Xenopus tropicalis: one gene and its partner. The protein of the gene in region 2 interacts with the protein of the main gene of each other region in a pairwise test. Links are inferred from orthologs where the notes say so. Each region holds a gene or a part of one and is shown on either strand. Other genes may lie near its edges.

Region 1 (3,812 bases), on a different chromosome or scaffold from region 2:
CCCTTAGAGCTAAATGTCTCTCTCTCATGTAGAGAGACAGATTGCTGAGAGGGCATAGTAAGGACTGAGGCTGTGCTGAGGGAAAAGGGATGTAGTATCACAGCATAGTGGGGTGCTGTATGGGTCTAGTAACACCTTATTGTGTATTTGATAATTGGGGTTATAACAGATGCTTATGGATTTATGTTCTTTTTAGGTAAGACTGCATCTGGGCATTATCTATCATTGGAGTGTCCTCTGTGCACAGCTAACAAGACTGCAAAACTAGATGGCCGATCAGATGAACAGTGTGGACATATCTCCATCCATACAAGACAAGGTTTATGGAGTTTATACATCTGAACAAGGTAATATACCCACAGGTGCTTGAGTGAATAGGAGGTAAGGCTGCAATGGACAGTACAGTGCATTTCATGTACCTGAATTCTCAGATCTGACATCTGTCTCAGCAGGTCCTCAAACAGTTCCTGGTCAGCAATGGGCAGCTCAGAAGAGAGAACCACTCCCACATAGGATCCAGGTAACTGGGACATCACGTCTGGGAACATGTAGACTCCAGTGTTAGTGCGCAGGACTGGCGACTGAGTACACATGAGGGGGTACAACCAATCACAGACCTGCAAAAAGCCCAGAGGACATTTTGAACCTTGGAGTAAATTAAAATCAACAAAAAAGCAAAGATACTCAGATAAGACACCACTTTACACCATCAGCCTAAAACAGGGACATGCTAAGTCTGGTTATAATTAGCACTGCTTTTCTAGTATTTGACATATACCCATAATGACATTGGGTTTTTATATGTCTGAGTGTAATTAAGTCATTAATGTTAACGCTTACCAATAAAATTAATTTCATTTTTCATTATAGTTCCCTACTTAATTATTAGCAGTCGCGATTGTCATGGGAAGGCTGGTGCGGCCAGTTACAGGATTCTAGAAGTCTTTTTTATTTGTGCCACTGGGACCAGCACACACATCTGGTCTTAATCCTCTGAGTTAAGCCTTGTGCCCCAATATTTCTTCTTTTTTGTTTCTAAATGAGCTACAGATACACATACAGATCTGGTGGATTGTGGCAAGCAGTGCTGCTCATTGTGTTTGTTTAGAAAACAAATCCATACATTTATAGCTAGCTTGCTCCTGTACATATACTCATTTACTTTGTCCTACGCCTTCACTTTCCCTGCTCAATGTCCCAGGTTCCATAGCTTTGGCACTTGAGCTGCTTGTTACATTTCCTTATTATCGCTTCAGTAATGTCTTGTCCATCTGCTCATATATTGGCTCTTTTTCCTTGCTCTGTCAAGTTTCAAGGCACATCCTGATGTCTGCTGTAAATCACTGCTGAGAAACTGAAAGGGCCAGTCTAAATCCTAATTCCCTGTCAGTCAATGGTGATTATCTAATAACCAAGAGAGAATCTATCCAGAGATTAGTGTTGTGTAACAGCCTAGTCACCTATATAAACAAGTTACTTATATCACTCACTTATTTACAACACACACACAGATAGCTCATGCCTAAAGGTGACCATAACAATAATGGGAATACAGGCTGTTAAGACGAGGATCACATCAACTGCCTGTATCCCTAATGGGATATTCAAACCTGCCTGATCAATATCTTGACCAGATACTGGTTAGGTAGGCATATCAGAGGGCTCCATACACAGGCCGATAAGGTACTGACTTGGTCTGTTGGAAGCTTTTATTGGGCCTTGCAGATCTGGACCAGGATTCAAATTAGGCCCTGGTATTACAAATACACAGAAACCCAAACAGCCCCCACAGGCCCAACAAATAGTAACTGTCTATGGCATCTTACAGCAGCCCCACTGGCATTTTCCAGAACCCACAGAGTGGCAGTCCATGCCTAGGGCAGTGTATTGCCACCTTATTACTAAGATTTCAAAATCTGAGCGCAGACTTGCCCCTGCTTGAATAACCAAGCACTAAAAGAGAGACAGAGGGTGAAATGTTTTGACTGAAAACCAAGCAGGAATATTGGTATTTGTTGCCAGAATAGGCACTGATGGCATAAGTGTCTCCTGAATCGTTGCCTGTATTGTTTCCATTTATATTCTAACTGGATCAGAGGGATGAGATTATGAGACCCAATAGCGGGTGCAGATAGCATTTTAAAAGAATTTGTTCACCTTAAAATTAACTTGTAGTATGATGTAAATATTTATATTCTGAGTCAATTTACAATAGGTCTTCATTTTTTTATTGTGTGTTTTTTAATTATTTAGCTTTTTGTTCAGCAGTTCTCTAGTTTGGAATTTCAGCAGCTGTCCGGTTGCTAGGGTCCAATTTACACTAGCAACCAGACAGTGGTTTGAATGAGAGACTGGAGTATAAATAGGAGAGGGCCTGAATAGAAAGATCAGTAATAAAATGTAGCTATAGCAATAAAATATTTTTTGGCTGCTGGGCATATTATTTAAAAACTAAGAAATAAAAAATGAAGACAAATGAAGATACATCATGTGATTGTGAGATGCACTAGGAGTCGAGTGTAAAATATACAAATTAATATATATAATACTCTGCATTTTCCCTTAACTCATGCTAAACTCCCAGCATTCCTCTCAGTGACGTTAGGAACTGTAGTACTGTTCAAGAGCTATAGGATGTGTGTGTATGCTTCATAGCATTCTTATATACTGGACTTAGTGTGTTCTATACTTATATACTAAAAGGCATTTAGGGGTTGGCTTGTGAAAACCTTTGCCCCTAGCAGCAGAATGAAATGAAGCACTTAGTGTTTATCTTACCTGAAGAAAAGCAGGTGGGCGATTCTGAGCCACCTCACTATTGGTGTCCATAAACTTTATGATGCGAAGGTACCCTGGATATGAGGGTGCAGTGACAAGGCCATCTGCTGTTACAAAAAATATCTGCACCCCTTGTGGAATAAGAATCAGCTCTTCTGCATCCACCCCAAGACTCTGCACGGGTGGTGGCTGTGCTGCCATGGAGTAGAACTCAACTCCTACAGTTGAAAGCTCCCCTGATTCTGTCCCATATGATACTGTATAATGACCTTCGGTAGCCTGAGGGGTATATGCTGGGGGTGTAGGTGCTCCCATGATGGGATCTATGGGCTGAACAGTTTCGCTACTTGGCACAGAGGAGAAACCATTCACTGGACATGGTTCTGAGGGGCAAACAAGAGATATGGGAGGCGGTGGCCTCTCTGGCTTCTCTTTCTCCTTAGGTGGCAAGGCTGGGTACAAAGCAGGCATCTGGGATGAAGCATTTTCTGCAGCGGAATTGGAAGGAAGTGAAGTCAAACTCTGCTGTAGGATATTCAAACGTGTGTTTACATTCTGCAGGGTTTCCTCCATCTTAGCTTGCATTTGCCTGGCATTATCCCAAGCTGGGCCAGTGAACTCTGGCCTCTGTAAGGATATATTTAATCCTCTTATTAGATGCTCCTGTCCTTGCTTGTAATAGTTGCGAGCCTCTTCCTTATACCCTGTCTCGTCTGTACTCAAACCTTTATTTATGTATTTAAACGCTTTCCTGTATTCATCCTCAATGCTCCGAAGCAAGGTGTTTTCCAGATTTTCAGGGGGTGCATTTTTCTCCATCGCTGAATGATAAAAAGAAGCAGAATTTTTAAAGCTGCATAAAATTCACACATCAATTGCATTTCTAAGTTACTAGGCATGGAAGGCTCAGACCAAGGCAGTCAGTGAGTTCAGGCTGCAGGTCACACAGAATCTAAATGTAAGAAGGGTTATTCCCCATTGGCTGAAATGAGTTTGGATAGGGCAACGCTGCACCCAGGGGCTAAAGGAATCAG
Region 2 (4,561 bases):
CCTTACACAGTACCATAATGGGTCAGAACAACATGCACATCCCGGTACCTGGCCTTACACAGTACCATAATGGGTCAGAACAACATGCACATCCCGGTACCTGGCCTTACACAGTACCATAATGGGTCAGAACAACATGCACATCCCGGTACCTGGCCATGGAATCTGCAGCTGGGACCGGCCCAGAGGAACACGCTGACAAAGCAGGTCATCACTGCATTTATAGCATTGACATTCCCAGCCATAATGACTTTATAACGCCGGTCTGTCAGGGGGGAAACCTGGGGCTACGCCGGTCTGTCAGGGGGGAAACCTGGGGCTACGCCGGTCTGTCAGGGGGGAAACCTGGGGCTACGCCGGTCTGTCAGGGGGGAAACCTGGGGCTACGCCGGTCTGTCAGGGGGGAAACCTGGGGGCTACGCCGGTCTGTCAGGGGGGAAACCTGGGGCTACGCCGGTCTGTCAGGGGGGAAACCTGGGGCTACGCCGGTCTGTCAGGGGGGAAACCTGGGGCTACGCCGGTCTGTCAGGGGCGAAACCTGGGGCTACGCCGGTCTGTCAGGGGGGAAACCTGGGGCTACGCCGGTCTGTCAGGGGGGAAACCTGGGGCTACGCCGGTCTGTCAGGGGCGAAACCTGGGGCTACGCCGGTCTGTCAGGGGGGAAACCTGGGGCTACGCCGGTCTGTCAGGGGGGAAACCTGGGGCTACGCCGGTCTGTCAGGGGGGAAACCTGGGGCTACGCCGGTCTGTCAGGGGGGAAACCTGGGGCTACGCCGGTCTGTCAGGGGCGAAACCTGGGGCTACGCCGGTCTGTCAGGGGCGAAACCTGGGGCTACGCCGGTCTGTCAGGGGGGAAACCTGGGGCTACGCCGGTCTGTCAGGGGCGAAACCTGGGGCTACGCCGGTCTGTCAGGGGCGAAACCTGGGGCTACGCCGGTCTGTCAGGGGCGAAACCTGGGGCTACGCCGGTCTGTCAGGGGGGAAACCTGGGGCTACGCCGGTCTGTCAGGGGGACATGGGCCTATGGGCACAACTCTATGGCTTCTGTATGTTTGCCTATAGGCACAACTCTATGGCATCTGTATGTCTGCCTATGGGCACAACTCTATGGCTTCTGTATGTCTGCCTATGGGCACAACTCTATGGTATCTGTATGTCTGCCTATGGGCACAACTCTATGGTATCTGTATGTCTGCCTATAGGCACAACTCTATGGCATCTGTATGTCTGCCTATGGGCACAACTCTATGGTATCTGTATGTCTGCCTATAGGCACAACTCTATGGCTTCTGTATGTCTGCCTATAGGCACAATTCTATGGCTTCTGTATGTCTGCCTATGGGCACAACTCTATGGTATCTGTATGTCTGCCTATGGGCACAACTCTATGGTTTCTGTATAAATGCTCAGAAGGAAACTGCCAGTGTGAATGACTCCATAAGAAACCATGATTCATATTCCATGTACTCTCTCACACTCAGCTGCACTTGTACTGACAATGCAGGGCACCTAGGCCAGAGGCCCACATATTGTGAAACTACATCTCCCAGCATTCAGTGTGAGCAAAAGGCAACCCGAACAACAGGGTTCACAATTAAAGGACAATGCCAGACAAGGCCAATACTCACTACCATGGATGCCACTGTAAATCTCTGCATGCCAAGCCATTGTGGGCATTTCCTATGGTTAGAGTGGGTACCCATGATTGCTTTTAATACCAGCCCCCCTGTAGTCAGTGAGGAAAGGGGGGCCCATATGGTAAGGACTTAGTAATACTGCTTTTTGAATGCCTAGGCAACCAGCTGTTAAAGAACTACAAATCCCAGCATCCTCTTCAAAGATGAGTTAAAGGGCAAATAAGGTCCAGCCAGAGTTCCAGTAGCCAAGGGTGGCAGTGCCCAGGGCAGATCCATTACATACCCCAATGACCACTCCAGATTTCACGCAAAATACAGTAAAATGCCATTAAAGGACTAAAACTTATTTCACAATCGAGATGCAACTCAGACACATTGGGGCTGAGGAGCCATGTTGGTACCTTGAGCAGGGGCAGAATCCAAAGAGCAGCAATCCTAGTTGCCCCAAATGCACATTAGCCCAGAAAGGGGATTGCGAAGCCTTGAAGGAAGATGGTTGCAGCCCCCAGGCCTGGCCGATAGGGGAGGGGTTGGGCATTTGGGGTTTATTTTAGGGTTCCTGGCGCCCCCACAAGCCTACACAAGTGACTTCTTCCCTCTAATAAGTACCCCCTATACAGGGGCAAGTGGCGCAGGAATCAGGCACATACATGAGCTAACTGCCCCATACAGGGGTACAAGCGCCAGACTCATATAAACTCTATTAATTAGGTCTCGTTATTGCCCTGTAATTAGGGGGCGCACTCACAGCCTGGGCAGGACCCCAATAAGCACAGGGTGTGACCCCAGAAGCACCCAGGGCCCCAAACCAACTAGTTACCCCCACCTAGGGCAAGTAATCCTGCCTCAAAGGGCAATTGCTCAGCTCCAGGCCAAGCCAGAGGGGCCCCTGGGCTCAATGGAACATGCAGGTTAGGCCTGAGGGGTAACTAACGGCAGGAAGTAGCTGGGGTGAATATTACCCTACTTGCCCCCGGAACTCATGACAAACGCACGGAATGCTGGGAAGCACCGGGCCCAACTTGTTGTTGTGATCCCTCCCACCCTGAGCCTTCTGCCCCACGCAGGGGTATCGGGCCTACTCACCGGTCAGTCGCAGCTTCACCGGCCCGTTCCGCCGGGATCCCTGGTTAGACATGGCCCCGGGGAGTCCCACAGCAAGGCTAGGCCCGGGCCGCGGCCTGGAGTACGGAGGGAGGGCGGGAGAGTCAGGCGGACTGTGGGGGCCCCGAGTTACCGACTAGCGCCATCAGCCTGGGGCAGAGCGGAGACAGCACTGAGCCACACGGGCCGGGGGAGCCACTCACAGCCCGGGGAGGAGGCACCGGGGAACAGGGGCGGGGCACAGGCGGGAATGGGGCGGAGACACGGACACTTGTGGGAGGAGACTGCAAGTAGCGGGAGGCAGGAATGTGGGCGGGGCCGGACACTGTGAGCGACGCACAGTCTGAGACTCACCATTACCCAGAGTTCCTCACTGAGAGACACTCACTGAGAGACACTCACACCATTACCCAGAGTCACTCACTGAGAGACACTCACTGAGAGACACTCACTGAGAGACACTCACACCATTACCCAGAGTTCCTCACTGAGAGACACTCACACCATTACCCAGAGTCACTCACTGAGAGACACTCACACCATTACCCAGAGTTCCTCACTGAGAGACACTCACTGAGAGACACTCACTGAGAGACAGTCACACCATTACCCAGAGTCACTCACTGAGAGACACTCACACCATTACCCAGAGTTCCTCACTGAGAGACACTCACACCATTACCCAGAGTTCCTCACTGAGAGACACTCACACCATTACCCAGAGTTCCTCACTGAGAGACACTCACACCATTACCCAGAGTTCCTCACTGAGAGACACTCACTGAGAGACAGTCACAACCATTACCCAGAGTTCCTCACTGAGAGACACTCACCCCATTACCCAGAGTTCCTCACTGAGAGACACTCACTGAGAGACACTCACACCATTACCCAGAGACACTCACTGAGAGACAGTCACACCATTACCCAGAGTTCCTCACTGAGAGACACTCACACCATTACCCAGAGTTCCTCACTGAGAGACACTCACTGGGAGACAGTCACACCATTACCCAGAGTTCCTCACTGAGAGACACTCACCCCATTACCCAGAGTTCCTCACTGAGAGACACTCACCCCATTACCCAGAGTCACTCACTGAGAGACACTCACTGAGAGACACTCACACCATTACCCAGAGTCACTCACTGAGAGACACTCACTGAGAGACACTCACACCATTACCCAGAGTCACTCACTGAGAGACACTCACTGAGAGACAGTCACACCATTACCCAGAGTTCCTCACTGAGAGACACTCACACCATTACCCAGAGTCACTCACTGAGAGACAGTCACACCATTACCCAGAGTCACTCACTGAGAGACAGTCACACCATTACCCAGAGTCACTCACTGAGAGACAGTCACACCATTACCCAGAGTCCCTCACTGAGAGACACTCACTGAGAGACAGTCACACCATTACCCAGAGTCCCTCACTGAGAGACACTCACTGAGAGACAGTCACACCATTACCCAGAGTCACTCACTGAGAGACACTCACTGAGAGACACTCACTGAGAGACACTCACACCATTACCCAGAGACACTCACTGAGAGACACTCACTGAGAGACACTCACACCATTACCCAGAGTCACTCACTGAGAGACACTCACTGAGAGACACTCACACCATTACCCAGAGTCACTCACTGAGAGACACTCACTGAGAGACACTCACACCATTATCCAGAGTTCCTCACTGAGAGACACTCACTGAGAGACACTCACACCATTACCCAGAGTCCCTCACTGAGAGACACTCACTGAGAGACAGTCACACCATTACCCAGAGTCACTCACTGAGAGACACTCA

The links.
Region 1: the proteins of smurf2 (region 2) and spart interact in a two-hybrid assay, tested with the Homo sapiens proteins (2 studies listed by BioGRID and IntAct). The link is inferred for Xenopus tropicalis from reciprocal best matches to the Homo sapiens genes SMURF2 and SPART.

The regions. Positions count from the first base shown.
Region 1 is NC_030678.2:151,956,069-151,959,880, reverse strand, and holds part of spart (spartin), read right to left. Parts: intron 3,600-3,812; coding exon of another isoform or gene 3,598-3,599; coding exon 2,779-3,597; intron 618-2,778; coding exon 420-617; intron 1-419. UniProt on the Homo sapiens protein: Lipophagy receptor that plays an important role in lipid droplet (LD) turnover in motor neurons.
Region 2 is NC_030686.2:51,425,475-51,430,035, reverse strand, and holds the start of smurf2 (E3 ubiquitin-protein ligase SMURF2), read right to left. Parts: upstream 3,016-4,561; 5' UTR 2,776-3,015; coding exon 2,724-2,775; intron 1-2,723. UniProt on the Homo sapiens protein: E3 ubiquitin-protein ligase which accepts ubiquitin from an E2 ubiquitin-conjugating enzyme in the form of a thioester and then directly transfers the ubiquitin to targeted substrates.